Linked DNA regions of Xenopus tropicalis. The protein of the gene in region 1 interacts with the protein of each later gene in a biochemical or structural test. Links are inferred from orthologs where the notes say so. Each region holds a gene or a part of one and is shown in the gene's direction. Other genes may lie near its edges. The genes, in order: e2f1, setd7, rbl1, tbp, ccna1, phb and topbp1.

Region 1 (4,345 bases):
GCTTTATATGCACCTACCTATAGTAATTGTGCATTTGTTTTAGTTTATGCATTATTTTAAATATATTGAGTATAGGTATTGTGTATGTTAATAAAAACATGGTGTCAGTGGTTATTATGGAAGGGGTTCTTCATCTTAAGTTTAATGCAGATATTTATTAAGCTTTTTGTAAAATAACTTCAGTTTGGCATTTCAGCAGCCACACCTGGTTGTTAGGGTTAACCGCCCTAGCAACCAGGCAGTGCTTTGAATGAGTGACTGACATATGCATGGAAAGATGAGTACAGGTATGGGGCCCATTATCCAGAATGCTCGGGACCTGGGGTTTTCCGGATAAGTGGTCTTTTCCAATAGAATTGTTCTGCCCCCAATAAGGGGTAATTATATACCATATACCATTATTATACCATTAAATAAACTCAATAGGGCTGTTCTGCCCCAATAAGGGGTAATTATATCTTAGTTGGGATCAAGTACAGGTACTGTTTTATTATTACAGAGAAAAGGGAATCATTTAACCATTAAATAAACCCAATAGGGCTGTTCTGCCCCAATAAGGTGTAATTATATCTTAGTTGGGATCAAGTACAGGTACTGTTTTATTATTACAGAGAAAAGGGAATCGTTTAACCATTAAATAAACCCAATAGGGCTGTTCTGCCCCCAATAAGGGGTAATTATATCTTAGTTGGGATAATGGGTTTACCTCTAATCATAACAATATAATTAACCTCACAGGGCAGTAGTGAGAATAATTGGTTTTAATTTACTGGCACTGCCCTATTAACAGGTGGTTTTGTTTTGCAATATGAAGCTCATCTGTAAATGATACTGATTGACCCAAAGTATGGAATATCTTAGCACTGACCCAGCTAATGATCCCAATGTTACTAGTCAGCTATGGGTAGTGCTGTAGTGTAACCAAGAGCACACAAAACAGGATTCCTTATTAATGGGATCAGTAACTGTTGTCCATTGTGCAGCTGTGGGTTGGTCCTTATGCCTGTAAACTAGTCAGTCCTGCCATCTGCATCTCATACTATAGTTGCATTATATATGTATATATACTTCAGGTACGGGGTCTATTCAGCTTGTAAAAGCTCACCCAGCATAGCAAGTTGTAACACGCACAGAAAGAGTTAACAAGCAAGCATCATTTTAGCCTAGCCCAACCATTGGGTAAACCAGCCAGATGGGTTGTTGGAATTTTCCTCCTACGCTTCAGACTTGGGAAACCAGTATGGGCCGGGGTGGGAATTTTTACCAAACAGCTGTAAAACAGTAAGGGAGCAGTTTAAAAGAAAAGCCTCCACTAAAACCATTGTAATGTGAGCCTGCTTCATGCCAATCAAATGCCACTTTAAGGCTCATAATGGTACATTGTCTACCCAGAATACTTTGTGTGCCAAAAGCCCAAGTTTTTGCACACAATAGATTAGTGATCTCCAACCAGTGGCTCAGGGGCAACATGTTTCTCCCCAACCCCTTGGATGTTGCTCCCAGTGGCCTCAAAGTCGGTGCCATTTTTGAATTTTTGTTAGGTTTTAGTTGCATAAATACCAAGTATAATGCCAAACAGAGCCGTCTGTAGGCTGCCAGTCCACATAGCACTTATTGGCACCCCAACTATTTTTCCATTTAAATTTTGCTCACTGCTAATAAAGGTTGGGGATCCCTGCAGTAGATCATGTCCGATTCAAACCATAAAGGCTATGGTACTCCCAATTATGGGACCAAAGTGCCCTGTCTTACCTTTTATGAGAATAAGTATAAAACTACACTACAATTTTGATTCTCCTTCACAGGTTTGCATAATATTTTTTTTACTGCCTACATCATACTAATCATTCATGGCAATTATTTTTTCCAGGTAAAAAGGAAGTTAGATTTGGAAACTGTATCCAGATATAATCAAGAAGCGCTACAGACACCCCGCGGGAAGGGGAAAAGACCTCTGAAAGGTCAGTTTAAATGTGTATTGTGCGTTTATGGGATGTATCTAAGGGATTCACATAATCACTAAAAAATCTAAAAACAACATAAAATTACTGTGAGGCTTTATTGATTTTTCTTCTCCCCTTTTTTCTGATTTATATTTCTTTTCCGCTCTTTAGTCATGTTTCTCCCCTGCGTTTTTTCTTTTACTAATTAGACCTTCTGTTTTATACTTTGCTGGGTCTATGGGTGAAGACACATGGAGCTACTAGTAGCAGCTACTTGTCGTGGCTACTAAATAAGACAATGCTGATCATTTACTGATAATTGTCTCTGTGTGTGTTTTAGCAGATGCAATCCTCAGTATTGTCTATGGCAGGGGATTTTGTGGTGTTTAGTAGCCTAAGGGCTCTGGTACACGGGGAGATTAGTCGCCCGCGGCAAAACTCCCTGCTCGCGGGCGACTAATCTCCCCGAGTTGCCTTGACCCTGCCATCCCACCGGCGGGATGGCAGACGCGGCGGCGCGATTTTGCGCAAATCGCCGAAAAAGTCTCGCGAGGCTTTTTCGGGGATTTCCCAAAATCGCCCCGCCGCGTCTGCCATCCCGCCGGCGACTTACATGTTCGCCGGTGGGATGGCAGGGGGAATGCAACTCGGGGAGATTAGTCGCCCGCGAGCAGGGAGTTTTGCCGCGGGCGACTAATCTCCCCGTGTACCAGAGCCCTAAGGGCTGTGGCATACGGGGAGATTAGTTGGCCGCGACAAATCTCCCCGAAATGCCATCCCACCGGCGAGTATGTAAATCGCCGGTGGGATGGGATTTTGGGGAGATTAGTCATGGACGACTAATCTTCCTGTCTGCCACAGCTCTAAAAAAAGTAGCTGCTACTAGAAGCTCCGTGTGTCTTCACCCTAAACATTTGATTGGACGTAGCAAATTTCTGCCATCCTTAAACTGTCTCCTAATAATCCATAGTGACGTAAGTATGGAATTTCTGCCATTCTGAAAGACACGTGTTTCAACATCTTTGTTCTTTGTTACTGTTTATGTGAATTTTCAAAGTAAAGTACTCCCACTCCTTATTTTGGCTTGGTGACAAAGTGTTTGGAATAGTCTCCTATTCATTCCTAGGGTAATCATCTGCACACACAGGTGCACTCACGGTTCAGGTGATAATCGCTTGAAAATGCATTAGCCACTGTTTCTGTGGGATAATTGCCTGACCTGCTAGTGCACCTGTTGTTGCATGCAATTAGCTGCACATTGTCGCCCGACCTCTGAGGTAGGAAAACACTTGGGTTACAAAACATGGAGATTTGCCCCACTCTGATACAGCAAATTGTCGTCAAGCTAATTACTGTGCTACTACTAGGAACACCAGAGGGAGCAAAATGAAGCTAAAATCTTAGAAAAATATAAAAATAAAAGGCAACTGGGGAAAAAAGTAAATATTTCTTAAAATAGACTGATTCATAAATTGTTTAGATTAGGCCCATCTTTAAAATTGGAAAACGTAGTCTCCTACGTCTGCTGCATTTTCCAGCTTTCAAATGGAGGTCACTGACCCTGGCAGCCAAAAAATGATTGCTCTCTGAGGCTACAGTTTTATTTTTGTTGCTACTTATATTTCTATTCAGCCCCACTTCTATTCATTTTCCAGTCTCTTGTTCAAACCACTACCTGGTTTCTAGGGTCATTTGCTATCTAGCAACCGGTTAACTGTTGAAATTCCAAACTGGTGAACTGCTAAACAAAAAAACGAACCTTCTCTTTTTAACTGAGATATAACCTTTTTTACTTTTACTCAATAGCAGTGAAATCCCCAGGGGAGCGGTCACGATATGATACATCCCTGCATCTTACAACCAAACGTTTTCTGGAACTTCTAAGCCAATCTTCAGATGGAGTAGTGGATCTGAACTGGGCTGCTCAGGTTCTGAATGTGCAGAAAAGGAGAATATATGACATCACCAATGTATTGGAAGGGATCCACTTAATCACTAAAAAATCCAAAAACCACATACAATGGCTGTAAGTATATGAGGCGCTGTTGATTTTTTTTTTCTCCCCTTTTTTCTGACTTATATTTCTTTTCCGCTCTTTAGTCAGTTTCTGCCCTACGTATTTCTTTTACTAACTAGGTCTTCTGTATTATACTTTGCTTCTTCTAATCTTTACAAAGGCAATTCAGGTCTATCACCGCATAGCTTAATTTGACCATTAAAATGCACCTTGTTTAGACATGAGTTATTTGTTCATTGGTTTTAGTTGACCAAGCCCAGACACTACAAAATAACACTTTGTAATATTCTTATAATACCTTATAATATTTGTTTCAGGGGATATACATCATATGCGGAATACAACAGCAGATACCAGAGTGCATTGAAGGATTGCCAGAAGTTAG
Region 2 (4,345 bases), on another chromosome or scaffold:
ACCTGCTCCGCTATAGGGCGAAGAAGTGTGGGGTGCTGTACCCCTAAAACTGTAGGAGGAGTAGCGTTTAGAAAATGGGGGGGCGCTAAGAATAAGAATAAAAAGTGGAAGACTAAGCTGAAGTTGAAGAACAGTATGTTGGGTTTTTCAACCCAACACAATGACAGCATTGGTATTTTCTTTAATATTTACCAGAAGGGTAGTTCTTTAAAAAAATGCACCCTATATTTAGATATACAGGTATAGGACCCATTATCCAGAATGCATACATCCATTTTGTGTGACAGTTTGGAAAATGTAGTGGTTATTATGCAACATTTTTCCCACGCATGCTTTTTCAGTTCAGATTTTTTAGTAAATGTATAACATTTGTGGAAATTCAAATTTATTTTTTTTTTTTTTTTTTTTTTTTTTTTTTTTAAATGAGAAAAAGTAGTTTTAGTAAATCTGCCTCTGAGAATTCTTTATAATGATATCATACACAGGTCATTTAAGGCGTTTGAATATTGTATACATCTCCCATCTTATAATGGGTGATCGTGCTGTACTAATGAATAGAAATGAGCCAGGCCCCTGATAAACTTTTGTCAGCGTTGCATCCTGTGAGGGCATTGCCTTTCACCCAGACAGTGCCACTGCCAAACTAATTTTGTTTACTGGTAGAGGAGAGATGTGACTGTGCTGTGAAAGCAGACAGAGATTAGACAGACAAGGGATAAAGCGGCTTAGACTGGAAATATAGTGCTAGAAGAAACAGTCAGTAAACTATCCCAGGGCTTTGTGACCTTTTCTCTCCCTTATAATGGGACCCATATACTCTTTAGTGGCAGTAAATATGAAGGATGGGGTGTGGGGACAGAGGTTAATGGGGTGTAAGAAAGTGGGATAATATTTCCTGATTGGGGGTAGTTTGTTTGTTGTGGCCTAGTAATCCAAGAGCACAGAACCGATCTGTAATGGAATATCTCTGGAACCCTCTGAATGACCTAGAAATCAGAATTTGATTTAACATTTTCCATCAGTTGATATCTGATTCACACAGTGCCATTAATACTAAAAGTGTCTTGTCATTTCTATTGTATCAGACTCACAGATAATTATGCCTTTACATTTGGGATTCTGTAGGGAAATATAAAAAGGGAGAGAAAAGAGCTGCTTTACCAGGCCACAAATTGGCAACTTTCCCCATGACCAATATATATGTACAGTTTGGCCACGAATACCTTTACCTCCACCTGTATGTTCAGGACCTCTGGCAAAGGAAACCATGGCTTTAAATGTGTTTTTTTTTTAATTGTTATGCTCTCTACTGTCTTTTTGTAATCTATTTTTTGTGCATGTACTGGGATTAAATCAAACACCATTAATCGCACAATTGATCTTGAGAACATGTCATCTGTGCTTGCAAAGTCGAGTTAAAATGAATATATATGCATGCAGATATTCGCTATAGATTAGCACTGTAAAACATTTCCTATGTAGTGGGCAGTAAACTGACATACTGCATGTTTGCAGGCTGGATTATATTAAAATCATTATTTTATACTCCACAGTCTGTGGGGCCCATTGTGGCTTTAAATATCATACATCCAGCCCTCAGACCTCCAGTTGGCCAGCTTTGCTATAAATAATGCATTTTATGCTCTTCTTTTATCTGCACATGAATTTACATTTTGTCTGCTTGCAAAGTACTGTATGTTCTCTCAGAACAACATTTAGCCTTTAATTTCATGCTGCCGAACAACAACAATTAACTGAATGTAAAAGTATGGGTAGAATTCTAGCTCTAGCTCTCTATGTGGCATGTAATCTCATTTCAACTATATAACATATATCTCCATATTGGGATAAATACAGTTCAAACAGAAGTTCACACATTTAACTTCCAGTTGCAATGGCACATGGGATGATTTTGTGTGTTTTGTAGGTAGTGGTGATTAATAGCTCCAAAGGTAGGGGCAAAATGCTTGAAAATTGCCTTTTATTCACTTTCTACAGTTGCACCCATGCTCACAACCAATCACTTGTCAGTTGTGATCAATGATTGTATTCACTCTTGCAGGCAATTGCTATTAAATTGAATAGGACCAATTTCAAGTGTTTTGTCATCACCACCATAGATGCCTAAATATCCTCACTGACTTTAGACCAGCCTGTCTTAGGTGTTGGTGGGGTAGACTTGTGTGAGGGGCAGTACAGTAAGTAGAAAACGGCATATAAGGAAGCAGCAGAGGGGGTGGCAAAGTGATGGCATTTAGGCATAACGTGAAGGTACATGTGGGAAATTACAAGGGCAAGTGTAGTTCCAAGAGTTGTGCAGGGCAGTCATGAATTTTTATAATAATATTCTCTCAAATAAACAAACAAATGTCAAATAAATGTTACTGGTGACATAATGGGGGCAGGAATTGGAGCAAACCAGGAGAAACTGGGTTGCATGGGGGCATAGCTGGGTGGAATATGAGTGTATCAAAAACTAAATATTTGTGTATTTGTGACATTGTTGTTAAATATTTAATAGAGGCATTGACTAGTGTTTTAAAGTCTACGCCAGTGAAATGTTCCTGATAATGATGAAAATGTTAATGAGTTAAAATATTTAGCAAAGCAGATAGATGTCAGTTTGTCAGAATGTGTTTGGCTTTGGCACATTTACTTTCTTTGGATTATTGTCCTCAGCTCAGCAGTAGCTCTTGGTACTAACACAAGAGACAATCTGAATTGTCAATTCCTAATGCAAATTACACAAGGAAATTAACAATTCTACCCATTGTTTTCGGCGCTAGGACAAATTTATTATAGATCAGTACATTTTACTGATCAATTTAACAAACAGAAACTTTTTTGTGCAAATCTTGCTCAGATAGCATTCTGTTTCAGTTCTTTGGAGCATCTAGCACCCTACACACAGTCCTTACTACATATACTGTACGTGCACTGCCAGCTTCCCAACACTATTTCTTTGGCAAACCTCGATGCATCAAGAAAGAATAAAATAGAGACTGACCATAACAGTAGCTGCCAATATAAATGCATGGAATAAATAAGGTTTCAAATGTTTACCTGAAAGTATGAATGGAACTGAAGTCATTTACTGACTATAGGAGAAGCTAATAAAAACTTTACATTGTACGACAGTGGTTGTTGGAACCTTTTGGTTCAAGGTCCCCTTGGAGGGTCATTCTGTGTTCAGGATCACCCCAGTTACCTTCATGCTGAACCCCTTGGTACTGTTCCAGTGCCCCAGGGGACCTCACAGTCACAACACAGATTTGATTGTTATAAAAAGGTAGGGATAGTTCAGAAAATAAGTATACATTTTACAGAAAAGTATCCAATAGCAATTTGCTTTTGTTAGTCTTACTGCATTTAAACAGCTATAGTTCATTGTTAAGAAAATTATACTTTGTTATGATGCAGGTGCATGTCCATGGCTTTACCATTGTGTCTCTTATAAAAATGATTTGCCTCCTGTTATTTTATTCATTTATTATTTTGATTACATTTGTTTGATTTTGTGTGCATTTTTGCTACATTTAATCCTTCCACCATGCTATCTGTATTAACCAAATACGCATTATTTAATCCTCTTTATTATTTCTGGGAAGGCCTGTTGGATGATGACGGATTACCTCACGGGTTTTGCACTGTCAACTACAGCTCAACTGATCGGTTTGAGGGGCATTTTGTACATGGAGAAAAAAATGGACGTGGAAAGTTCTACTTCTTTGATGGAAGGTACGTGCATGTAATGCACCTTTTTTTTTTTTTAAGCATATATTGCTACATGCTGGAATAGCAGTTATGGTTTCATTTATTGTTTTTATTGTTTTATTAGGTGCACATCTGTATTAATATTACAATTACTATATATATATACATCAAACATAATAGATAAGTGTATACATCAAACATAAATATAGTATACAAATGCCGAGTGATACAGGAGGTACAAAAAGCCCTTGCTCATAAGAGCTTCCAATGCAGATAGTTGTAATTCAGCATCACCAGGATAGCCAATGGAGGATCTTTACTAAAACTCATTGCACTGTATGCACACATTATGTACAGGTATTGTACCTTTCTGGATAAGGGATCTTTCCTTCCAATAAGGATTAATTCTGTCTTAGGTACTGTTTTATTACTACAGAGAAAAAAGAAGTCATATTTAAAAATTTGAACAATTAAAATGGAGTCTGTTGCAGATGGCTTTCCTGTAATCCTGAACTTTCTGGATAACAGATTTTTGTATAACAGATCCCTATATTTGTATGTCTCTTAGAGTGACTTTGGTCTGCCAGCTTTGAGGGAAGGGGTAGGCAGGTAGAAAATATTAGGATTAAAA
Region 3 (4,921 bases), about 670 kb from region 1:
GTCGGACGGGGGCCCGGGGGAGGCGGTGCAAGAGCAGCTGGAGACTTTGTGCCGGGAGCTCAACTTGGACCAGGAGACCGGGGCCGAGACTATCAGAGACTTTACCCGGACATGGAGCACCTACAGCCTGGAGGTAACCGGCCTGACTCATACCGGGGCCGCCGTGCCTTCTGTCCCACTGTCTGGCACTTCCGTATCCTGCCTTGTACTCTGGGGGCCCCCTGCCCTCCTGCCTTGTACTCTGGGGGCCCCCCTGCCCTCCTGCCTTGTACTCTGGGGGCCCCCCTGCCCTCCTGCCTTGTACTCTGGGGGTCCCCCTGCCCTGCCCTCCTGCCTTGTACTCTGGGGGTCCCCCTGCCCTCCTGCCTTGTACTCTGGGGGTCCCCCTGCCCTCCTGCCTTGTACTCTGGGGGTCCCCCTGCCCTGCCCTCCTGCCTTGTACTCTGGGGGTCCCCCTGCCCTCCTGCCTTGTACTCTGGGGGTCCCCCTGCCCTCCTGCCTTGCACTCTGGGGGTCCCCCTGCCCTCCTGCCTTGCACTCTGGGGGTCCCCCTGCCCTCCTGCCTTGCACTCTGGGGGTCCCCCTGCCCTCCTGCCTTGTACTCTGGGGGTCCCCCTGCCCTGCTGTATGGGGGTCCCCCTGCCCTGCCCTCCTGCCTTGTACTCTGGGGGTCCCCCTGCCCTCCTGCTTTGCTGTGTGGGGGTCCCCCTGCCCTGCCCTCCTGCTTTGCTGTGTGGGGGTCCCCCTGCCCTCCTGCTTTGCTGTGTGGGGGTCCCCCTGCCCTCCTGCTTTGCTGTGTGGGGGTCCCCCTGCCCTCCTGCTTTGCTGTGTGGGGGTCCCCCTGCCCTCCTGCTTTGCTGTGTGGGGGTCCCCCTGCCCTCCTGCTTTGCTGTGTGGGGGTCCCCCTGCCCTCCTGCTTTGCTGTGTGGGGGTCCCCCTGCCCTCCTGCTTTGCTGTGTGGGGGTCCCCCTGCCCTCCTGCTTTGCTGTGTGGGGGTCCCCCTGCCCTCCTGCTTTGCTGTGTGGGGGTCCCCCTGCCCTCCTGCTTTGCTGTGTGGGGGTCCCCCTGCCCTCCTGCTTTGCTGTGTGGGGGTCCCCCTGCCCTCCTGCTTTGCTGTGTGGGGGTCCCCCTGCCCTCCTGCTTTGCTGTGTGGGGGTCCCCCTGCCCTCCTGCTTTGCTGTGTGGGGGTCCCCCTGCCCTCCTGCTTTGCTGTGTGGGGGTCCTGCATCCTTGCCCCCCCTCCCCTGACTTTGCCTTCTGAATGTGACAGGATGTTAGAATGTAAGCTCCAATGGCGCAGGGACAGCTGGGTATATTGTGTAATCTGTGTGTGTCAGTGTTGGGGAGTATATCCGCCCCACACTATCCTGGGATTCATTGGTCTGTGTGCCTACAAGTTGTGGATGGTGGCCCCGTCTCTTAGTAGCCGGGCGCCCCATTTTTAGGCCCAGTGCAGCATTGGGATAGGAGCCCCCAGCCCCCATATTTGTGTGTATTTGTCATGTTGTAGATACAAGAGCTGCGACAGTTGCATACAGTACAAACCCAATATGTTTATGCTGAATTCACCGTGTAGCTTTAGATGGCAGTGTATGTGGGATAGTCCTGCCCCTAGTGCCGGGGCTCTGGGCATGTACTGACATGACAGCTGATTGCCGGCACGTGGGGGAGGCACAGGAACTGCACAGATTTGCCATTTTAAATGTCAGCCACGTTGTCCGGGGCTAATACTCAGCAGCAGCTGTTACCTCCTCGCCCAGTGCTCCCTCTGAGCCTCCCATAGCCACCCGGGGGCAGATCAGCGTGTAGGGCCTGTGCCTAGAAATGTAGGAGAAATTCAGCTTTAAATTTCGTTCTTACTATTTATTTTCCAACACATAAAGAGCCAGCATATTCATTAGCATTGAATGAATGGACCAATCTAATGTTTCATTTTGTCTTCATTATTTGTTAATGTTTGTAGTCAGCCTGCATCTGATAATACCATCAGCTTGTTGGGGGCCTTCAACTGATCATTGTCTGTTCTGATTTCCAACAGCTGCCTAGTTGTTAGGGTAAATAATACTTAGCAACCAGACAGCATAATTTCAATTGGCCATAACATAAAAAATTGGAATTTGTCTCTGAGTAATGGAGTCTTCGTTAGATGGAAACAAAGTGTTGTGCTGCATACAGAGCCTCAAAAAAGCATGTGGATCGTTTACCTTTGCTCTCAGCTTTTAGTTTAATATTATTCTAGCTCTGTCTCTCAAGTGGAGAATTTACAGGATTGTTTTCCTGCGTCTTTTAGGGAGAAGTGAAGCATTGGCTCGCGTGTGCCCTGTACGCAGCATGTCGCAAAGGTGTCATACCGACAGTGGGGAAGGGCATCATGGAGGGAAATGGCGTGTCGCTCACACGGATACTGCGCTCTGCAAAACTGAGGTATGTGCAGAAATTCCTTTACATAGCAGTCATTTTTCATCCAATGTATGTAAATGGTAACTGGGGCTATTTCTAGCCTGGGCGATACTGCTCAGGGTATGTACCCCCCAATCGCTTCACGCTCTGTTCCTTCATTGTTCCGCAGCTTGATTCAGTTCTTCAATAAAATGAAGAAGTGGATAGACATGTCCAACCTTCCGCAGGAGTTCCGCGAGCGAGTGGAGCGCTTGGAAAGGAACTTCGAGGTGGCCACCGTTATATTTAAGAAATTTGAGCCCATCTTTCGGGAGATATTTCAAAACCCTCACGAGGAGCCGCCGAGATTACCAAGGAGCAGGAAGCAAAGGTGGGGTGTAATGGGGCATACCCCAGTACCTTGGTTTTAATATTCTCTTATGGGCAACTAGAGAAGCCCACTGCAAGGACTTATTGGCCAGTGGCTAGCACTGGAAACAGGTGCTTTTTTTACTGGAATCAGTATGAGCCCATTCTATAGGATTGTTCTGCAGAAGGAACAACTAATAAGCCAAAGGTTCCCCCCCCCCAGCTTGTTTTTTCTGATCTTTAAAACAGCATTATTTGTAGAATTGATATCGTTAACTGGCAGTGTTTTGTTCTCCAGGAGGCTGCAGTGCAGTGCCAAAGATCTCTTCAGTTTCTGCTGGACATTATTCGTATACTCCAAGGGTAAGTCTTGTCTAATGTACTGCCGTGTTTGGATAGTGATATCGCAGGTTCTAGGTTCCTCTAGGAATGCTCTAGGACAAAGGAAGGAGGGTCTGGCATTTACCAACAAACATTATTGTAAAGGAATGTGGCGTATTTATATACTATAATGGTAGCAAAGTGAAAAGTCTCCAGTTAATTTTAAACTCCCCAGCTACACCGTGAGTGGCCTAACCCATGGCTTCTCTTGAAGAATATCTTTGGGGTAATCACAAAATGGTTGTCGGGGTCAGTGACCCTAGCGGTAAAGGCAGTTTATTGTCGTTCAGTACTTCTGTTTTGGCACATAGCAGTCGAGATACCATCTGAAGAACTAAAAGTAAACTTTTAAAGACACTTAGAAAATGTCTGTCTACGCCATGCTGCAAGTTAATTTAAAGAGAAACTACTACTTATATGATATAGGCAGTTTTATAGCTATTACATATATTCACCTTCAGAGAGGAGACACACTTACTTAAAAACATTCTGGTTTCTAGGTAATTTCTGCTTGATTGGAGATGACTTGGTTAATTCTTATCACTTGCTTTTGTGCTGCTTGGACCTTATTTATGCACACGTGCTGCAGTGCCCTAATAAGGAAGATCTGCTAAATCCTTCTTTTACTGGTATGTATTATCACTCTTTTTCTATGCAAAATATAACATGAGTCTTAGCTCTGTCATTACAAAAAAACCAAATGGATGGGATGTTTCAGCTGCCCGTGCCCCTCAGCTGCTGAGCCGGGGCTTTTTTCAGATGCAAAGTAAAAGCTCTGTCACTTCAGAGAGCTCTCAGAATAGTGCCCACCAATAAGTGAGTGCTATTTGCCCCATGTGTGCCACTATGTGACTGGCTTATGTGCTGGCTAATCTTGTTGGCCTGTATATGGTACTTGTACTCCATATACTGGAATTGTCTATATTTTCTCTAATATACAACAAATAGTTTTTATCAGTAAACCAAGAGATGGCCCTCCAGATCTTGTTGGGCTTCAACATCCAGCTGTAGGCAGTACTGTGCGCAGTTAAAATGTGTGGAGGGGCCTCTTATTTATCGATCATGGTTATATATTGTGATATGCTGTACTGTATTGTCTGACTGCTAGATGTCACTTGGTGTTTAGGCTTTGGCATCTCTACTCTGTTTAATACTATAGATCAGTGCAGTCCAACTTATTACATGTAATGGGCCAGCTATATCTTATGCAGCAAGTTGGAAAGCCAAATAATGTCATATAGTGAAGCCTATGGAGTGTCTGAGCAGACTGGGGGCCTTAAAAATCCAAACTGGGGGACCACGGGCTGAATGGGGCCCTCCACAGGACAGCCCTGCTATAGATACTAAATACATTATACTGTTGCTAGGTTTTAAAATGGACTGAACACAGTGGTTACCTGAGTGGCATCCTTTCACTATTGCCTTAGTTTTCAGTGGGTGTAAAATTGAAAAGGATTTAAGGCTAAACTCCATGACTCCAACAAGACTCACGATCCGACTTAAATTACAAATTATGGAGATCAGATTTGGTACAGAATCTTGTGCTGTTGTGTGGTGTTGAACGACCAGATCGCAAAATCTGATCCAAATCTCCTGTGTAGCTTAGCCCTTAGAAAACCATTATTCTGAGGGATTTACTCATTGCCACCCATGTCGGTGGCTTACACGGGAACATTTGCTGCTTGTTTAACATGGAGGTGAGGGGTAGAATTGAGGTTCATGAACTGCTGCCACTTTGTATGATGCTGAATTCCTCTGTGCCTCTCCAGCAAAGCTCCCTGCCCTTGACCCC
Region 4 (4,244 bases), on another chromosome or scaffold:
AGGGTGGGTATGAGAGGTACAGTGGTACTGTCTAGGGTGGGTGTGAATGGTACAGTCTAGGGTGGGTATGAGTGGTACAGAAATATGAGAGTTCTGTAGTGCACATGCCCTTGCCCAAGCCTGGCAGGTTATGCCTGAAAGGGGGTGGGGTTGCTGAAGCAGGTAAACTAAGTGGCTGGAATCCCTGAGGATGCCTAATAATATTTACTACTACCAGTCATTTTACTTTTCCTTCTCCTTTAAAGCTGGGCAAATTTTAGATTTGCTTCTTTGGCCTTGAGCTGACCAATTTGATTTGGAGCCATTTTATCTAGTCTAATAGTTTCTACTATTTTCTAGCTCATTCTGTAGTGCTACAGCCTAAACTCAGCAATAAACCTACGGCTCCCTGTACTGTTGAGGCATGATCTTACTGAGTACAATGGAAATTAGGCACTAAGTTATGTACATAAACCAACCTTGTGTTGTGAAACTAATTTGTGCGTTTAATTGGTTCCTCAGAGAAAAAGGTTTAGGGGCACATATAGCAAAATTTGTATTATTGTACTACAAAATCTCAGAATTTAGATATAACAAGGCTTGATTATTACATCTGAATGAATACGTTTATGGTTTTTATAGCTTCTTAGGGCTCTGGCACACGGGGAGATTAGTCACCCGCGACAAATCTCCTTGTTCGCGGGAGACTAATCTCCCCAAAATGCCATCCCACCGGCGATTCAGTGAAATCGCGGAAGTTGCCTTGAGAGGAAACTTCCGCTATTTCACTGAAATCGTGCCGCCACGTATGCCATCCCACCAGCGAATGACATTTTCGCCGGTTGGATGGCATTTCGGGGAGATTAATCGCCCGCGAACAGGGAGATTTGTCGTGGCGACTAATCTCCCCGTGTGCCAGAGCCCTTAAGAGATTTGGAGAAACTAAAACCACACGCAGGTCATTTTACAAATTTTGCTTGAAGGAATCCCATTGTGACATCTGCAAGTGTATAATTTGACTACACCATTTTAGTATACCTTTTTTTGTCATTTCAAGCAATTTGCTGCTGCTAATATTATAAATATCCCCTACATCTTATCTTTTTTTTTTTTTTACTTTATTTGTTCTTTTAAACAGTCATCTAGTTGTTGGGTCACTGATTTATACAGTAGGATTAATAGCAGATTAGCTTCATGGTGTTGTCTTTACTGCTTGCTATGGTCACATAAGGTTGTCATACACTTGCAGGTTCTAGCTGCCAATTTAGTTCCTTCAGACCAATTTGGCAGCTTATCTGCCTGTGTATGGGCACCCCCAACACGGATCGGGGACCACATTGGCTCGTTGTTATGGCCCTCTGTCCTACTGTTAACTTATCACATTTACCAATACAGGTGCTAACTGCTGAATGTAAGCTATGTTTTAATGTTTTTTTTTTTTTTTTTTTTTTAACTTCTTTTTATAGGATTTTTGTCTGCTGCTGGAATGGTTTATTTTAATTTGTAGGAACAGCACACTTTGTTTTATTCTTAGTGGGATTTCCAATTAACGCAACATGGATCAAAACAACAGTATACCCCCTTTCCAGGGGTTGGCATCACCACAGGTAAGTGTGAACCCTTTTTTCCCTTTTACCACAATTCCCCCTCCATAAAATAAAATGCCTTTAAAAGCATTGTAATATTCACTTCATTTGCACTTTCTAAATTGGGGGGTATACGGTATACCGGGTGTGGTTAATTTGGACAACAGATACAATACTGAAGAATGAAAAAATAGAAGAAAAACTTGAGACACAGGCCAATATGCTTCCAACTGACTTAGGGGGGAAATGCAAGTCAGCAGCCAATATTGGCTTCAATGCAAATGTTTCTCTTGCTGGGGCGCTTGTCGTAATAGGTGGAGGAACGCCATCCTGAGGGCTCTTGAACACAAAACAGATGTGTTCCGTTCTCATTCATGCATGTGAATGAATATAGAGCTGCATTTCATCCTATGCTTCCTTGTGGTGGAAAGGAGAAGAAATCCAATTCGGGAGACTGCAGGGTGAAAACACCTGTGTGTAAGAGCCCTTAGCTTGTCCTACTCCATGTGCAGGGCTATACCATAAGATTTTCATTAAAGAAATCCCCATGTACTAAGCCCATTTTAACTTGTGATTCAACTTGTGTGTGGGTTTGAGAGCAAATTTGTTATAATTTTTTTTTTTTTTTTGTCTTTTATTTCTGTAGGGTTCTCTGACTCCAGGGATTAACATTTTCAGTCCGTTGATGCCCTATGGAACTGGTCTGACCCCTCAACCTGTACAAACAACTAACAGTTTATCAATATTGGAAGAACAGCAAAGACAACAACAACAGGCCCAGCAGTCTACATCACAACAAGGCAATCAGGGGTCAGGCCAAACCCCACAACTGTTTCACCCACAGACTCTTACCACAGCACCTCTTCCAGGAAATACACCCTTATACCCCTCCCCAATGACTCCCATGACCCCTATTACTCCTGCTACCCCTGCATCAGAAAGTTCAGGAATTGTTCCTCAGCTACAGTAAGTCTCATCATCCTGGGGGACATTTTGCAGATATCATTTGTCAGATTATCTGTATCTGCACACTTGTCAACAAATCCTTATGTTTGTCTGTACATTTCTGTAGTGCCATAGAGCATACAACTCTGCAAATGGTAAATATTAGATATACAGGAAATGGAAACATATTCTGGCATATTTTAATTTTAGACAGTAATGACTTTATTTGTTATACCACATTTGAGTGTGGCCTGTCAAAATTAAAAGACCTTATCTTTGTTTTACCTTTGGTACTAATGAGTATTTTAACAGTGCTGCATTACCTTTGTTTACCCTGTGAGTGTTACATTTGTTTAAAAAAAAAAAAAGCTACATTTCTTAAAAATATAGGAGTCCATATTAGATTTAAAAGCTACCAGGCCAGGGGTGTGTGTATATATTAGGTCTAGAAACAGATGCAGACGGTTTCCTCATTTCAGACTTTTACACCACATTCTTGAGACTGAATTGATGTCATATTTAAAGTGAAACTTTATTGAGGGAGAAAGACTTGTCTTGATATGTAATTTAGCATGTACAGTAGTATCCTAGTTTTAATGTGTCCTATATCTGTCCAACATGTGTGAAAAATAGAACAAGTAAAGAATTGGGAAATTAAAATAGTTTAGCACTTTTACAAGTACTAATAGTGCAAATTTTTTTTTTGTAATACTTTTTAAAAATTTCCCATGGGGCTAGCCATGTTCATTTCCCAGGGTGCCACAGTCATGTGACTTTTGCTCTGATAAAGGTCAGTCACACTTTACTACTGTGCTGCAGATAGGAGTGATATCATCATCCCCCTGCAGGCGATCAGCAGAACAATGTAAGTTAGCAAGCTAGCAGCTCCCAGTAGATATCAGAACAGTACTCAATAGTAAAAAAAAAAAAAAAATTCAAGTCCAGTAGCTCTGGCTCCTTCTGAAAGCTCAGACTCGGGCACAATGCACTGATCTGGCTGCCTACAACTAAAAAATTACTTTTGTTGGTTTAAGAATAAAATTTTAAATGGTAAATTATTTGCTATGTAAACAGTAATTTAGAAATATAAGTACACAATAAAAATTAATGACTGAATACCTTTAAATACAGTGAGCAAAAATATTTGGATTTGTAATAACTGCTTTTACATTGTTCAGGAACATAGTGTCCACTGTAAATCTTGGCTGCAAACTGGATCTGAAAACAATTGCACTTAGAGCGCGAAATGCAGAGTATAACCCTAAGGTAAGACAAAAGCCTTTGTTGTATCTTATTCACCTAATAGTTGCTTTCACTGTGACAGACGGGGAGATTAGTTGCCACGTGACAAATCTCCCTTGTCGCGAGCAACTAATCTCCTCGAAATACTATCCCATTGGCTGGAATGTAAATTGCCAGTGGGATGGCATAAGCATCGCCGAAGTTTCCTCTCAAAGATGCCGCGTATGCCATCCCACCTGCGATTTACATTCTAGCCGGTGGGATGGCATTTCGGGGAGATTAGTCGCAACTAATCATCTCGTCTGTCACAGCCCTAAATATTCTTATCTATCTGTAAAAGTCATTCAGGAGAACACACTGGTGCATTGTATGGCACTTAATTCTGTAAATGTGTGATGAGAAAAGGATTTCCTGTTTGTAATTTTGTCCTGCCATACCCACTGGGCATAGTATTTTTATGCTGGCCTAGAAGTGGCATGAGGATGGGTTATC
Region 5 (4,863 bases), on another chromosome or scaffold:
GTGTGTGGGGGGGGGGGTTTAAAAAAAAAAAAAAAAAAAAAACACGGCTAGGTCTACCTGTGCAGATTAAATAATCAGTGTTCCAACTCTTAGGGTGGGGCCCCTGCAAAGTGTCTGCCTGGAATTGAAAATGTGCTTCCTTTCGCTGGAAAAATCCTGCCAACAAACCCAGCACTTGTGGCTCCAAAGCCAATCTTTACAGTGTATGTGGATGAGCCAGAGGAGCCAACAGAAACCTATTCGATTGAAGAGGATTGTCCCACTCTGGATGAAGTAGATTCAAATATCGTGAAGCAGAACATCCATCTGCTCTTGGATCTCAGTGCAGGTTTGTTTAATCCCTGCTAAAGCTCTGCATTTTCCCTTTAATACACATTTAAACTGCCTATTGTTTCTGCAGCTTCTCCGATGGTGGTGGACACCTCTCTCCAGGCAAGCCCAGAAGATGACTCCATAACAGATCCAGATGCTGTAGCTGTGTCAGAATATATAGATGAGATACATCAGTACCTTAGAGAGGCTGAGGTGAGATCTGGGTTAAACATGGCTTAGTTTGTTTTATCTGATCACAACTTCACCTTCATATTGTAAGCTTTGAGCAGGACCCTCTTACCACTATGGCAATGTACCTGTTTGTATAGTACTATATATTTATAATTTTGTGCTCTAAGTTACTATACAATTTATTTGGCTTGACAATTAACAGTCTGCACTGCTTTCTGTTCTAAGGACCCACATGTACTATAGTTTTGCATTGTCATGCCTTCAGTTCCTCTAATTTACCAAAGGTGATCAGCCAGTCACTTATGACAATTTTCAAAGATGGCAGCCACTTTTCTCCTGACGGCCTTCTAGGTGGCTAGACTTGTAGCAAATGTTCTACCTTTTTATTGCATTGTCCCTTTTAGGATGTTGGGTCTAAGCAGTCTTCACCACTTTAATGTTCAATGTAAAACAAAGACCTATAAAAGCTTAACATTACACACAAGCAGATTTAAGCTTAAGGAGAAGGGTCATATAGGTATTGGCAAGGATGTTGGAAGAATTCCCCATATGAAGCAGTAACTTAATCTCTGTGCTGTTTTTGTCATCTGCTAAATACTTTTATGCATGTCTTACTCTACTCATTGACTTTCTTCAATATACTGTGCATTCTGCCTTCACTATGTCCCCATTTATACTCTACATTCTCTTGGCTTTTCTGCTATTTGTCTTTTCTTGTAGCCTCCATATTCTGCTCTTCTGCTCTCCAGTCTCATTTTCCCAATTTATTATCTGGCCCTCTTCCCCCAACTTCTGCTTTCAAAGGCATCTTGCAGTCGGCTGTAGTACACTTTCAGCTGCCTTATAAGACGTAACTGGGGGAAGACCCCCATCAGAATCTACCCCCTCATACCTGTAAGCTTTATTTACAGAGTTTCACAATCTAAAACTACATGCTGGCAAGGATAAATGCTCAAATGGCAATACAGCAAAGTAGTGGGCCGCAAGTCATATGCATGGTCTGCCAGTTGGGTGACTGCTGTGAGTTAATGTGTGTTCTTAATTATCCAGTTGAAACACAGACCAAAGGCTTATTACATGCGTAAGCAGCCAGACATTACTTCAGCAATGCGCACAATCCTCGTGGACTGGCTAACAGAAGTTGGTGAGGAATACAAGCTCCGTACTGAGACTCTGTATCTGGCTGTAAATTATTTGGACCGCTTCCTGTCATGCATGTCTGTACTCCGGGGGAAACTGCAGCTTGTAGGCACAGCCGCTATCTTATTGGCATCGTAAGTAATGGTAGAATCAAACCTATAGACATGCATATATGGGGGGAATGCCCCTTGTCAGACATATGTATATGGGTCTCATTAACCTATAGCAACTAATCTGCATTAGCCGTTACTGGTCATCTTGGCTTCAAACAAGTCTTATTGGCTGCTATGGGTTACTGCACCTGGTCAAAAGCACCTATTCAAATATTCCTTTGCTCGGCAAGGTATAAAACCGTTTCCAGGCCTAACCCAGCACTTGTAGACTGACCCAATTTCTACTTTTGAGCCCCTATGTGGGCCTTCAACAATGACCATTGTGTAGTAGAGTAACTACTTATTGCTTTTACATAGAAAATATGAAGAAATCTACCCTCCTGATGTTGATGAATTTGTGTACATAACTGATGATACATACTCAAAGAAACAGCTGCTGCGCATGGAACACCTTCTGCTGAAGGTTCTGGCCTTTGACCTTACTGTACCTACAATCAGCCAGTTCCTGCTTCAGTACCTGCAGAGACGTGCAGTCAGTGTGAAGACTGAGCACCTTGCAATGGTAACCTATTCACGTATTGGCCAACCAGTGTGTAATACAAATCTGTTAACTTGTGCTTAGACAGCTGTACAGATTTCTGCATTTCTAGTAGTTATAGGGCAGTTAAATGTATAAGCCTCATTCTGCTAACTGCACACAAATTAAAGTACAAGAATGTAAATGGGATACTATAAGTGCACACTGCATTTTGTTTTTTTTAGTACCTGGCAGAACTAAGTCTGCTTGACGTGGAGCCGTTCTTGAAGTATGTTCCTTCAATCACAGCTGCTGCAGCCTATTGTCTTGCCAATTATGCACTCAACAAAGTGTTCTGGGTAAGGTGCTAACTTATGATCTCACTAACAATTTTCATTTGTATTGAGTAGCTGCTGTTTCTCCTGACATTAATTTTTGACAAAGTACTGGCTAAGTACTTTGTGCAGTAGGGCTTACAGTAATATGGAAAGTTGTGAACTCTGGAGTACCCCCTTTAAGCACTGACTCACATTCCAAATATCTCACTTGTAAGATAAGAGATGGCAGTGACTGGCAGACTTACACAAATTCCAAAAATCACCTGTGGTAGGTGCACAGCTCTGGAAGTGCTTGTAGAATGAAGCATTCTTCTGGTTTCATTATAGCTGCAGTAAAATCCCATTATTGGTTCTCTAAATGTGTTAGGTTTATTATACTAAACTTGTAAGGTATGCCTTACAGGTGGAAGTAGGGTAAAAGCAGGCAGTAACAGTACTTGTGCTTATGGCTAAATGTTGGTGTCAAGCAGCTTTTTTTTTTTTTTTTTTCTTATATAGCCTGAAACACTGGAAACCTTCACCGGCTACACACTGAGTGAAATAACACCTTGCCTAAGTGATCTGCACCAAGCCTCTCTCCGTGCCCCTTTTCAGGCTCAGCAAGCAATAAGGGAGAAGTACAAGACCCCCAAGTAAGGCAGCTCATATAATTTCCCCAACTCAATATTAAGTTAAACTTTGTTCTGATTGGCTGTTAAATCTTTCTCCTAGATATATGCAAGTCTCTCTACTGGAGATGCCAGCAGTACTTCCCCTGAACTGAAGCCTTCAGAGTGGATACACACAGCACTTACCTCACGATCAACAGTGTTGGTCTTATTTTTTTTTTTATGAAGACACTGCAGGCCAAGTGTCCAATGGAGCCGTTTTATTTATTAACATGTATACTGAGACTCCTGTGCTTTTATGAAATAGACTTTTTATTCTGTGTAAACTAAAGGACTTATATTATAGACAAGCCTTGGATATTGGGCAGGCACAATGTCTCTTGCTGTGGGAACTAGTCATGTGGACATCTGGCTAATAAACAAGTGGATGTACTAAAACTGAACCCCAGTGGGCACAGCAGACATGCACTGGCTAACCACAGTACTCAAAGACTTAGATAATCCTGACTTCCTACAGTCAAGCTGCTCAAGGAAATGGCTTTTTATGAATGTCAACACTGAATAAGAGCGTCATTATCCAGGTTCTTTAACTTGTGATGGTGTCAAGTGTTTTTAATAAAATTGATTTACTCCTACAGTCTTGAGCCTTGTTTTCAATAACTGTATTGGGACACAAATCAGGACCCCACTGGCCAAAATTTAGCATATAAAATACCCTAAAGTCTTAGTGTGGATACACTAAGCAGCAGAAGCATATACTTGGCCTTTACCCTTGGGGGTAATCTGGTCTTTGACCCTTCTGTAGCAGAGGTTTAATTGTTCCTGCTTGTAATGCTAGAACACTTGACTAAAGGTAGTGAACAGTGATAAAACCCATGTTCACCTATTAGCGTTTGGTCAATTTCTAAGGGTATGGCAAATGGTTTGACATCAAACATGCAAAAATGAAGCTTCAAAAGTGAGCAGAAGCATCCCTTCAATAGTGGGAATGCACTTGTCATGCCTTAAGGAGGATATCCTTTATCTCAACTCGAGTAAGCTTCCATGGTGTCTATAGTAAAAGGCATTGTGCTAGACTATATTCTGTACCATTGCTGGTAAATTAACACTATGCAGTCTTTGCTTTAGTAGGTGTGCAATTACACAGGCTGAAACTGTATACCTGCAATTGTTGGGTTTTCTTGCACTAGGTCAACTTTATAATAAAGGTTAGCCTGCATGCTAGCAAATGGGTTCTCCTAGGAACTCCCATGTACAGCTTAGGTTAAGCAGAGCATTGGCTTTTTTTGTTCTAAAAACCAGTCCATAACTAGGATGGTGGCAAATGCAGCAAGAAACTGCTGAAATGTAAGCCTAAGTGAGGGTGGTGTGTGCTTAACTGCTAGGAGAAACTATTGCTAATTGTACCAATATTGCTGTTGTGTTCATACTGAAAATAATAGTGTGCAAACTGTATTTGCCCACATTGCTGTCCCTTGCTAGCATGTAACTGTGATGGCACATTGGCATGTCAGACATGGTCTTGTGATATGACAATGTCCTTTTGGGAGTTCTACATTGCACAGCACTTATTCTCCATATTTAACTCGCCTTCACCTAATGAATCAATCGTATCTGAACACACACCCCAGGACTTTGCTGAC
Region 6 (3,567 bases), about 28 Mb from region 1:
TCTAATTAGGTTGCGCTACCCATAATTATTCACTTAGGTGTCTCAAACTGACCTTCAGGTGTTTTGATAGTCAAGTTTTGTTTCTGAACCATGAGTGGGTTTGTGCTCCATATAAATGCAATTAACTTGAAGGATCTGTAGGCCAGCTGGTTCTTCTAGTGTCTCCAAGCCTTGGAATTAGAGGAGTCACATGACAGTGTTTGTTAGCCAGCACAGCTGCACAATTTGACATTCGACCAATCAACTAATTGGGAATTCCCCAAGGCCTCAATCTAACTAATCCAAATCAAAAGCTTTCATGTGACCTGGGATTATTTAGACACATTGGAATAATAGATGCTCTCGGTTTTTGTTATGTAAACCTTATCATTAGTAGTGGAAGATTAACAGATTAACTTCCTGCAGACGGGAAAACACTTTCATGTAATATCTGTGGCAATTTTGATTTATATATCAGGGTGGTGTATAATTTTACAGGTAACCTGCAAATAAAAAAACCTAAAGCACTTATTTCTCCATTCAGACACATCTGACCTTTGGCAAGGAGTTCACAGAGGCCGTAGAAGCCAAACAGGTGGCCCAGCAGGAAGCGGAGCGTGCCAGGTTCATTGTGGAGAAGGTACATGAGTGATCATTTAGTAAAAGCCAAAGTTAATGGGTTACAGGAAACAGATGTATAGATAACTAAATGGTATGAAAATGTTTGTTTCACTATCAGTATTCCACAAGACATATTGCCTGTATGTATATGTACAGGAGTGTATGTATATGTACAGGTTTGTATGTATACTGATGTAGCACTGAACAATTATATGCATGTTTTGTAGGGTTTGCGCAGGAGTAAAATATTTATATTCCCAAAAGAAGTGTGTTTCAGATCAATCAAGATATATACTGTCCATAATGGAATATGCCAACCCTTTTTGTAATAAAGCGGAACTCCACCCAAAAACAAACTAATCTCTTTGAAAAGTAAACATAATTTGAAGCAACATTGCAAAATACATCCGTAGTCGACTGTCCTCAGCCTGCATCCTCCAAATCCCACAGTTCCCTGCACACGTCGTCAATAAGGAAAGGAACATTGCAGTGCAATGCATTGTGGGTTATGTAGTTCCTGTATGCTCTCTAAGCTTTGGAGAAGTTATTACAAATTGTAACATCAATGATTTAGTCCCTCCTCCCCTGCCAGGATTTCACATGATGCAGAAAGAGAAGAACTGTGTTGTAGCTGAATGTTAGCATATAAAGATGGTATTTATTCATACAGTTCGAAGGAACAGATTACAGTCATAGGTATATTAGGGGTTTCTGTGTTGTGTGGAGCTCTTTAACAAATTTTAGTTCGTAAGCCAAAGTTCCACCTTAAAGGAACAGCTCAGTGTAAAAATGAAACTGGTAAAATAGACTGCGCAAAATAAAAAATGTTTTTAATATGACTAGTTAAGCAAAAATGTATTCTATAAAGGCTGGAGTGAGCAGATGAACATAATAGCCAGTACACTACTTCCTCCTTTACAGCACTCTAAGCTGTTACCAGTTGGTAACCAATCAGTGATATGAGGGGGGGGGCATATGGGACATAACTGAACTGTTCAGTTAGTTTGCTTTTTAATCTGACCCCCTGGTCGTCCCCCCCACCCCCTCTTCCAAAGTTAGTGACAGACTAAGGTTAGAGTGCTGAAAGCAGGAAGTAAAGTTCTGGCTATTATGTTAGACATCTGCCCACTCCAGTCTTTATAGCAGGGGTCCTCAACCTTTCTTACTTGTGAGCAACATTCAAATGTAAAAAGACTTGGGGAGCAACACAAGCACCATAAAAGTTAATGGAGGAGCCAAATAAGGGCTGTGATTGGCTATTAGGCAGCCTCTATGCACACTATCAGCTTACAGGGGCTTTATTTGGTAGGAAATCTTGTTTTTATTCAACCAAAACTTGCCCCCAAGTCAGGAATTCAAAATAACTCCCTGGTTTGGGGGCACTGAGAGCAACACCCAAGGGATTGGGGAGCAACATGTTGCCCCTGAGCCACTGGTTGGGGATAACTGCTTTTATAGATTACATTTTTGCCTAACTAACTATATTACAAATATTTTTTATTTTGCACAGTCCATCTATTTTACCCGGTTTCATTTTTACACTGAACTTTTCCTTTAAGGGATTATTGTGCCTGCCTTCATAGTTCCTATTGCTAAATGAGATGACTGAAATCTTACCAATTACTTTGTATCTCCTTTCCAGGCTGAGCAGCAAAAGAAAGCTGCAGTGATTTCTGCAGAAGGGGACTCCAAGGCAGCAGAGCTCATTGCGACGTCACTGGCGGATGCAGGAGATGGGCTTATCGAGCTGCGCAAACTGGAGGCCGCAGAGGACATCGCGTACCAGCTGTCTCGAGCTCGTAATGTCACCTACCTTCCCTCAGGACAGTCAACATTATTACAGCTACCACAGTAATTGGATGATGTGTTGTCATGCCATTTATTTTTTTTTACGTCTGACCCCTACATAGGTCTTTGTTAATTGGCCAATTTCCCTTGGGAAATGTTACAGAAGATTGTGTATGAAGGTGAATCTCCTACAGAGCCCACATAATACCCTACATGAAATGGACTTTAGCCACAGAACTGTTTGAATCCTGCCAATATATTTCTGAATTTGAATTGAATATAATTGTATTTTCAATGGAGGGCATAATACATTTTTGGTTGAAGCACTTGTTTATGTCTAAACCTAAAATCTGGCCTTCTGTCACTAACAATAAAAGTTATCCCTCAGAGGATATTTCAATAATGACATTGTATTATGAGTCAGATTACTTATGTAGGGATGATCATGTGTTAATCACCTATGAGATGTAACTTTGGGGGCCCAGGCCCTCCCTAAAATTGTTTGTTTCTGGACCACCATCCCCTTGGCCAAAACTGTGCCCCCCCCTCCCACGCAGCCATAGGGTGTATTCCTAGACCTAGAGTACAAGAGAGATTTGTGTAAAATGTAAAGGGATAGTGACTAAAATCTAGCAGGAAAGTGTCACTGTGGCTTTACTAAGCAGCCTGGTTTTAAGCTTGTGATTCCCTCGGGTCACCCTGTCACGTATTGACTAAAGTCACTGAGACAACATAGCTAGATAGTGAGTTTTCTGTTCTTTATCATTTTCTTCCTTCCCTCTACACACTTCACATTCTCTGCCTTTGCTCAGATACTTTTCTGCACCCCATCACCATAGCAAAAAGATCCCTTTTAAAGGAGAAAGAAAGGTAAAAACTAAGTAAGCTTTATCAGAAAGGTCTTTATCAGCCATAAGCACTCACAGAAACGCTGCACTGAGTTCACTGTCAAAAGATTTGTTGTGTCCGTTTTCCTCTCCCAGAGACACGCAGCTCTCTGCTCTCTCCTGCTCCCCCTCCCTCAAGAATGCTAAGAACTCACTCCCCCCCTTAGGAATGTGGATCTGAGCCAATCAGCAGGAAGCTGGCTCATAGTCTAACTATCTGAGCATGTACACTTGGTCTGGGTCTCGGTGCAGAGTGAGGCATTATGGGAACTTTCTTTACACAGCTCAGCAT
Region 7 (4,874 bases), on another chromosome or scaffold:
CCAGCATCTACTGGCACTGTGAATCCCCAGAAACTTCCAGGATCCAGTGGCACTTGAATGCCCCGAGAGGCACAGCATCAAAGGTACAGTGAATCCCCCCACAGCATGAAGAGCAAGGCCGCCATCAGAAATCACGGACCCCTGAAAACAAAATTTTCTGCTCCCCCCCACCCCACGGCCCCTCCCATCAGTACAAAGGACACACAGACATTGGTAGCCAGGGACCCCTGGCCCGCACCTCGCTGCTTCCTCCTGCTCCCCCTATTCCCCCCATCTCCAATATTTCCACAGTGTTTTAAAGGGGTAGTTCACCTTCCAAACACTTTTTTTTCAGTCCAAGAGTAATTCTTACTGATTATTATTATTATAGTCTACATTATGCCTAACACCTTGCTGCACTTTTAATGTAATTTAATTACATTCACAGGTAATACTCCGTTAGTGCAATCATATGTTTATAGTTATAAAAATCCACCTAGGAAGTGCCTAGGTATATACAATCTATTTAAATAATTATGATTGCTCTAATAAGGGGAGGTTCATCTTACAATTAATTTATAGCATCTTGTTGAAAATGTTATTAATTATTGTTTTGTTCTGAAGCTCTCTAGTTTGGAATTTCTTGAAATACTTTATTAGATCAATCAGAATTTATATTTAAAAAAAAAAAAGTGATTTGAGGGATATTTTTCCTTGATTCATCACAATATGCACTTCTATTAGTGCAATATAATTAGGATTTTCTCCACCACACTACATTAGAATTATGGCAACACAGATGCAGTGTTAGGAGAACTAAAGCTTAAAGGGGACCTGTCACCCTAAAAAATAACTCCAGATTATTTTCTATCATAGTTGAGCAAAAAAGACTTCACTTACACTATATAAATAATACCTGTCCCCCAGCATTTCCCTTCAGCAGCCATCCCCCCAACGTGTCTCCCACACAGCCCGTACCTGTCCCCCAGCATTTCCCTTCAGCAGCCATCCCCCCAACATGTCTCCCACACAGCCCGTACCTGTCCCCCAGCATTTCCCTTCAGCAGCCATCCCCCCAACGTGTCTCCCACAAAGCCCATACCTGTCCCCCAGCATTTCCCTTCAGCAGCCATCCCCCCAACGTGTCTCCCACAAAGCCCATACCTGTCCCCCAGCATTTCCCTTCAGCAGCCATCCCCCCAACGTGTCCCCCAGCATTTCCCTTCAGCAGCCATCCCCCCAACGTGTCCCCCAGCATTTCCCTTCAGCAGCCATCCCCCCAACGTGTCCCCCAGCATTTCCCTTCAGCAGCCATCCCCCCAACGTGTCTCCCACAAAGCCCATACCTGTCCCCCAGCATTTCCCTTCAGCAGCCATCCCCCCAACGTGTCTCCCACAAAGCCCATACCTGTCCCCCAGCATTTCCCTTCAGCAGCCATCCCGCCAACGTGTCTCCCACAAAGCCCATACCTGTCCCCCAGCATTTCCCTTCAGCAGCCATCCCCCCAACGTGTCTCCCAGCATTTCCCTTCAGCAGCCATCCCCCACAGCGTCTCTCCCACAAAGTCCCTGCCCCTTCCCATACCTCTAACCAAGCATTCTTTGCTTCACAGGTCTTTTCCTCAGCGTGTCTATACCTCTCCCCCCCAGCTCTTCCAACAGCATGCCTTTCCCCCACCTCCCTTCCAACAGCATGCCTTTCCCCCACCTCTCTTCCAACAGCATGCCTTTCCCCCACCTCTCTTCCAACAGCATGCCTTTCCCCTAGTCTCTGAAAAGAACACGAACCTAGAAGAGAAGGAGAAGTTTGAACATGCCGGCTGAAACCATTCCTCCTCTTCACAGCTACTGCGGAACTTCCGGGTTACAACCGGATATCCTGTGAGTAGGAGAGAGAGAGACATTGGGAGCGCGCAATTACGGAGAGTACTGAGGGGCTAGTGTTCCTATCGCCTTTTTTCAAAAATGTGTCCATAGTATGGCGATGAGTTTTAGTGAAGATTTTTGGCTAATTTGAAGGTAAATAATTATAATGCATTTGGACATGGGTATTATTTAGAAGGTGTAGTTTTTATTTTTTTAATAAACTTTTTTACTGTTACTGTTCCTCAAGCTTTGTGATGTATTGTGACATTTGTATGAAAGTAATATGTTCACATTTTTTTTTGTTCTTAGTTAAAATGGCTAGGAGTGAAAATGAGCCATTTTGTGTGAAATTTATCAAGTCTCCTGAAAATTCTGAATACTTCTTTAAAGCTTATGAGGTAATATATTTATAAAACAAATATCTGGATACATTACACAGTTGCTTATAGAACCCCATAATGTAGAAAGATATTTTTACTGTACTGATATTTTTACTCTAAGTAATTATAACAAAGTTCCAAACTCATATGCAGAGCATTCACGCAATTCTATGTTTAGGTATTACAGAAAAAATATTATGGAAATATTCTAAAGAACCATGTACAGATTTAGTTCAATCTGTTTTGACGTTGCTAACTTTCTATTGTCTTATAATGTTGGGAAAGATACCAGGGGCATTTCTTGCAGGTGCACACAGCACTATTTGTTTCTTAACATTTTATTTGAAACATGGTTGTCATACATTAGATAAAATATGGTTACTCATAGAGCTGGGCGGTATGACCAAAAATTTATATCACTGTATTTTTCAAAATTATATCGGTGTCACGTTATTTGACGGTATTTTTTGTTCCATGCATGATTAGGTGTTAACCCCATTTCCTAATAAATTAGATAATAATTACTGCAGTATTGAAAGGCAAGCGAAGGATCGGCAACAGAAAGTCGTAAGGTAAATCAGGCAGGCTTAGTTTCCCAGGCAAGGCCGCAGACAACATAGCACAGGAGGAGGCGTTTGATAGCTTTAAATACCCCCCCCCCCCACGCATGCGCAGAACCGGTGCCGTCAGCGCGAGACCGGGCCGCACGGGTGAGTACCCTGACACCCCGGTATGGCGGTATCTGAAAAATGAATATAGTTTTTAAAGAAAAACACCGGTATTCGGTATTGAACGGTATATCGCCCAGCCCTAGTTACTCAGTTACCAAGTAACTACTGAACTATTCTTCTAACTCCGTGTAAAGGGCTCACAGTCTTTGGAATATTTGATGGGTGATAACCTTTTTGTGTAAAGCTGAAACCATATTCAATAGGGCTATGAGCGTTTATGGAACCTTGTAATTTGCATTACATTTGTCCACATTATTACTTTCTCAAAGGCAATAGAAGTTTTATTTTCTGCTTTGTGTTCGTAGGCAATCAAGCAGATTCAGTCTGATGAATCTCTTCAGCTAACTGAAGAAAGTGAGGCACTTCTCTTGAAAGAAAAAGACAAATCTCTCTACATTTGTGATCCTTTTAGTGGTGCTGTCTTTAACCATCTGAAAAAGGTTTGCCATTATACTTATATAAATACTGAACACTTTTCTATATGAATGCATATTCCATGATTTTAATGGAACCATTTTGACTATAGTTTGATTGCAGTCAGAACAAAAGACAGTAGTTAAAGGAGAAGAAAGGTCACTGGGGGTTCCAAATGTTAGTCATCACACAGTGATTATAATCACTTATTCACTGCTCCTAATAGCAGAAAACTGCATTGGCCCAGAATGACATTCATGAGGGGGATACCAGATTACTATAGCTTATCCACTCAGAAGGGGCAGGGCTGAGCAGGAAGCGAGTGAGTGTACTGTTCAGCCTATGCACAGTATGTGTGAGCCTGCCTACAACACATTCTAACCTTTTTATGGACAGTATACCAGTGGCAGGCAACAGCACTAGTGATGATGGGTCGACAAAAAGCTGGCCTGTGCCCACCCTCTGCCAACTAAAAAAACCAACCCATTATGGGGGTTAGGGGGTAGAGAGAACTCAGTGGCATCAGGAGATTGCTGGTGTGGTGCCTGACCAAGCAGTATTGCCTTTGGTGGGGATGCTGGTGTGGCTCTGACAGTGTTTGTAAGGGGCGTGGCAGACGGGGGGATTAGTCGCTGCGCAACAAATCTCCCTTGTCGCGGTTGTCTAATCTCCCTGAAATGCCATCTCACCGGCTATAATGTAAATCGCCGGTGGGATGGCATACACTGTGCCAAAATCGACAAAGTTTCCTCTCAAGGCAACTTCGGCAAATCGCCCCGCCGCATATGCCATCCCACCGGTGATTTACATTCTAGCCGGTGGGATGGCATTTCGGGGAGATTAGTGGCCCGCAAAAGGGAGATTTGTCGCGAGCGACTAATCTCCCCATCTGTCACGGCCCGAAATAGGATTTAGGTAGTTGCCCAGGTCTCTGAAGTGGCAAGTGCCTGAAAAAATGCTCAAAAATGTGTTTAATATATATAAATACATATTTTCTGTTTATTACTAAGGGGATTGAATTGAGTGTCAGAATAAAGAATTTTTCTAAATTTACTTTGAAAAGTTCAGATAATGTTAAAGGAGTTTATGCTCCATATGTCCTATAAAATAAAAGTAAAAAAATATGTAACATATTACTTAGTCTTTATGTAAGATGCTTTTTAACTTAGTTAATTTATTGACGCATCAAAATATGCTTATGTTTTCAGCTTGGCTGTAGGATAGTTGGGCCACAAGTTGTCATTTTTTGTATGGAGCATCAAAGACGTGTCCCTCGTGCTGAATATCCTGTCTATAATATGGCAATGGCTGATGTGACAATTTCCTGTACCAGTCTCGATAAAGAAACTAGGGTAGGTTTAAGACCCATCAATTTAAACCTGGGTTATTATTTCTATAATAGCATAAAGAAGAAATTTAATGTAAATATGTCTTTCTTTTAACACCAGGAAGATGTGCATAATTATGTACAACTCATGGGAGGCTGTGTATACAGGGATCTTAA

Evidence for each region.
Region 2: of the proteins of e2f1 (region 1) and setd7, one has a biochemical effect on the other in vitro, tested with the Homo sapiens proteins (3 studies listed by BioGRID). The link is inferred for Xenopus tropicalis from reciprocal best matches to the Homo sapiens genes E2F1 and SETD7.
Region 3: the proteins of e2f1 (region 1) and rbl1 form a complex in vitro, tested with the Homo sapiens proteins (2 studies listed by BioGRID). The link is inferred for Xenopus tropicalis from reciprocal best matches to the Homo sapiens genes E2F1 and RBL1.
Region 4: the proteins of e2f1 (region 1) and tbp form a complex in vitro, tested with the Homo sapiens proteins (2 studies listed by BioGRID). The link is inferred for Xenopus tropicalis from reciprocal best matches to the Homo sapiens genes E2F1 and TBP.
Region 5: the proteins of e2f1 (region 1) and ccna1 form a complex in vitro, tested with the Homo sapiens proteins (2 studies listed by BioGRID). The link is inferred for Xenopus tropicalis from reciprocal best matches to the Homo sapiens genes E2F1 and CCNA1.
Region 6: the proteins of e2f1 (region 1) and phb form a complex in vitro, tested with the Homo sapiens proteins (2 studies listed by BioGRID). The link is inferred for Xenopus tropicalis from reciprocal best matches to the Homo sapiens genes E2F1 and PHB1.
Region 7: the proteins of e2f1 (region 1) and topbp1 form a complex in vitro, tested with the Homo sapiens proteins (4 studies listed by BioGRID and IntAct). The link is inferred for Xenopus tropicalis from reciprocal best matches to the Homo sapiens genes E2F1 and TOPBP1.

Annotation. Positions count from the first base shown.
Region 1 is NC_030686.2:41,694,103-41,698,447, forward strand, and holds part of e2f1 (transcription factor E2F1), read left to right. Parts: intron 1-1,870; coding exon 1,871-1,961; intron 1,962-3,749; coding exon 3,750-3,969; intron 3,970-4,277; coding exon 4,278-4,345. UniProt on the Homo sapiens protein: Transcription activator that binds DNA cooperatively with DP proteins through the E2 recognition site, 5'-TTTC[CG]CGC-3' found in the promoter region of a number of genes whose products are involved in cell cycle regulation or in DNA replication.
Region 2 is NC_030677.2:61,012,151-61,016,495, forward strand, and holds part of setd7 (histone-lysine N-methyltransferase SETD7), read left to right. Parts: intron 1-3,608; coding exon 3,609-3,738; intron 3,739-4,345. UniProt on the Homo sapiens protein: Histone methyltransferase that specifically monomethylates 'Lys-4' of histone H3. H3 'Lys-4' methylation represents a specific tag for epigenetic transcriptional activation.
Region 3 is NC_030686.2:42,361,692-42,366,612, forward strand, and holds the start of rbl1 (retinoblastoma-like protein 1), read left to right. Parts: upstream 1-1,700; 5' UTR 1,701-1,826; intron 1,827-2,290; coding exon of another isoform or gene 2,291-2,371; coding exon 2,372-2,424; intron 2,425-2,569; coding exon 2,570-2,770; intron 2,771-3,046; coding exon 3,047-3,111; intron 3,112-3,629; coding exon 3,630-3,758; intron 3,759-4,898; coding exon 4,899-4,921. UniProt on the Homo sapiens protein: Key regulator of entry into cell division. Directly involved in heterochromatin formation by maintaining overall chromatin structure and, in particular, that of constitutive heterochromatin by stabilizing histone methylation.
Region 4 is NC_030681.2:50,706,237-50,710,480, forward strand, and holds the start of tbp (TATA-box-binding protein), read left to right. Parts: upstream 1-1,444; 5' UTR 1,445-1,535; coding exon 1,536-1,586; intron 1,587-2,211; coding exon 2,212-2,531; intron 2,532-3,688; coding exon 3,689-3,776; intron 3,777-4,244. UniProt on the Homo sapiens protein: The TFIID basal transcription factor complex plays a major role in the initiation of RNA polymerase II (Pol II)-dependent transcription.
Region 5 is NC_030678.2:151,890,691-151,895,553, reverse strand, and holds the end of ccna1 (cyclin-A1), read left to right. Parts: intron 1-93; coding exon 94-328; intron 329-400; coding exon 401-525; intron 526-1,554; coding exon 1,555-1,778; intron 1,779-2,114; coding exon 2,115-2,319; intron 2,320-2,519; coding exon 2,520-2,633; intron 2,634-3,110; coding exon 3,111-3,244; intron 3,245-3,323; coding exon 3,324-3,375; 3' UTR 3,376-3,854; downstream 3,855-4,863. UniProt on the Homo sapiens protein: May be involved in the control of the cell cycle at the G1/S (start) and G2/M (mitosis) transitions. May primarily function in the control of the germline meiotic cell cycle and additionally in the control of mitotic cell cycle in some somatic cells.
Region 6 is NC_030686.2:14,011,516-14,015,082, reverse strand, and holds the end of phb (prohibitin), read left to right. Parts: intron 1-523; coding exon 524-619; intron 620-2,242; coding exon 2,243-2,455; 3' UTR 2,456-2,794; downstream 2,795-3,567.
Region 7 is NC_030682.2:52,585,886-52,590,759, forward strand, and holds the start of topbp1 (DNA topoisomerase 2-binding protein 1), read left to right. Parts: upstream 1-1,620; 5' UTR 1,621-1,860; intron 1,861-1,866; exon of another isoform or gene 1,867-1,998; intron 1,999-2,154; 5' UTR 2,155-2,159; coding exon 2,160-2,243; intron 2,244-3,261; coding exon 3,262-3,396; intron 3,397-4,578; coding exon 4,579-4,722; intron 4,723-4,818; coding exon 4,819-4,874. UniProt on the Homo sapiens protein: Scaffold protein that acts as a key protein-protein adapter in DNA replication and DNA repair. Composed of multiple BRCT domains, which specifically recognize and bind phosphorylated proteins, bringing proteins together into functional combinations.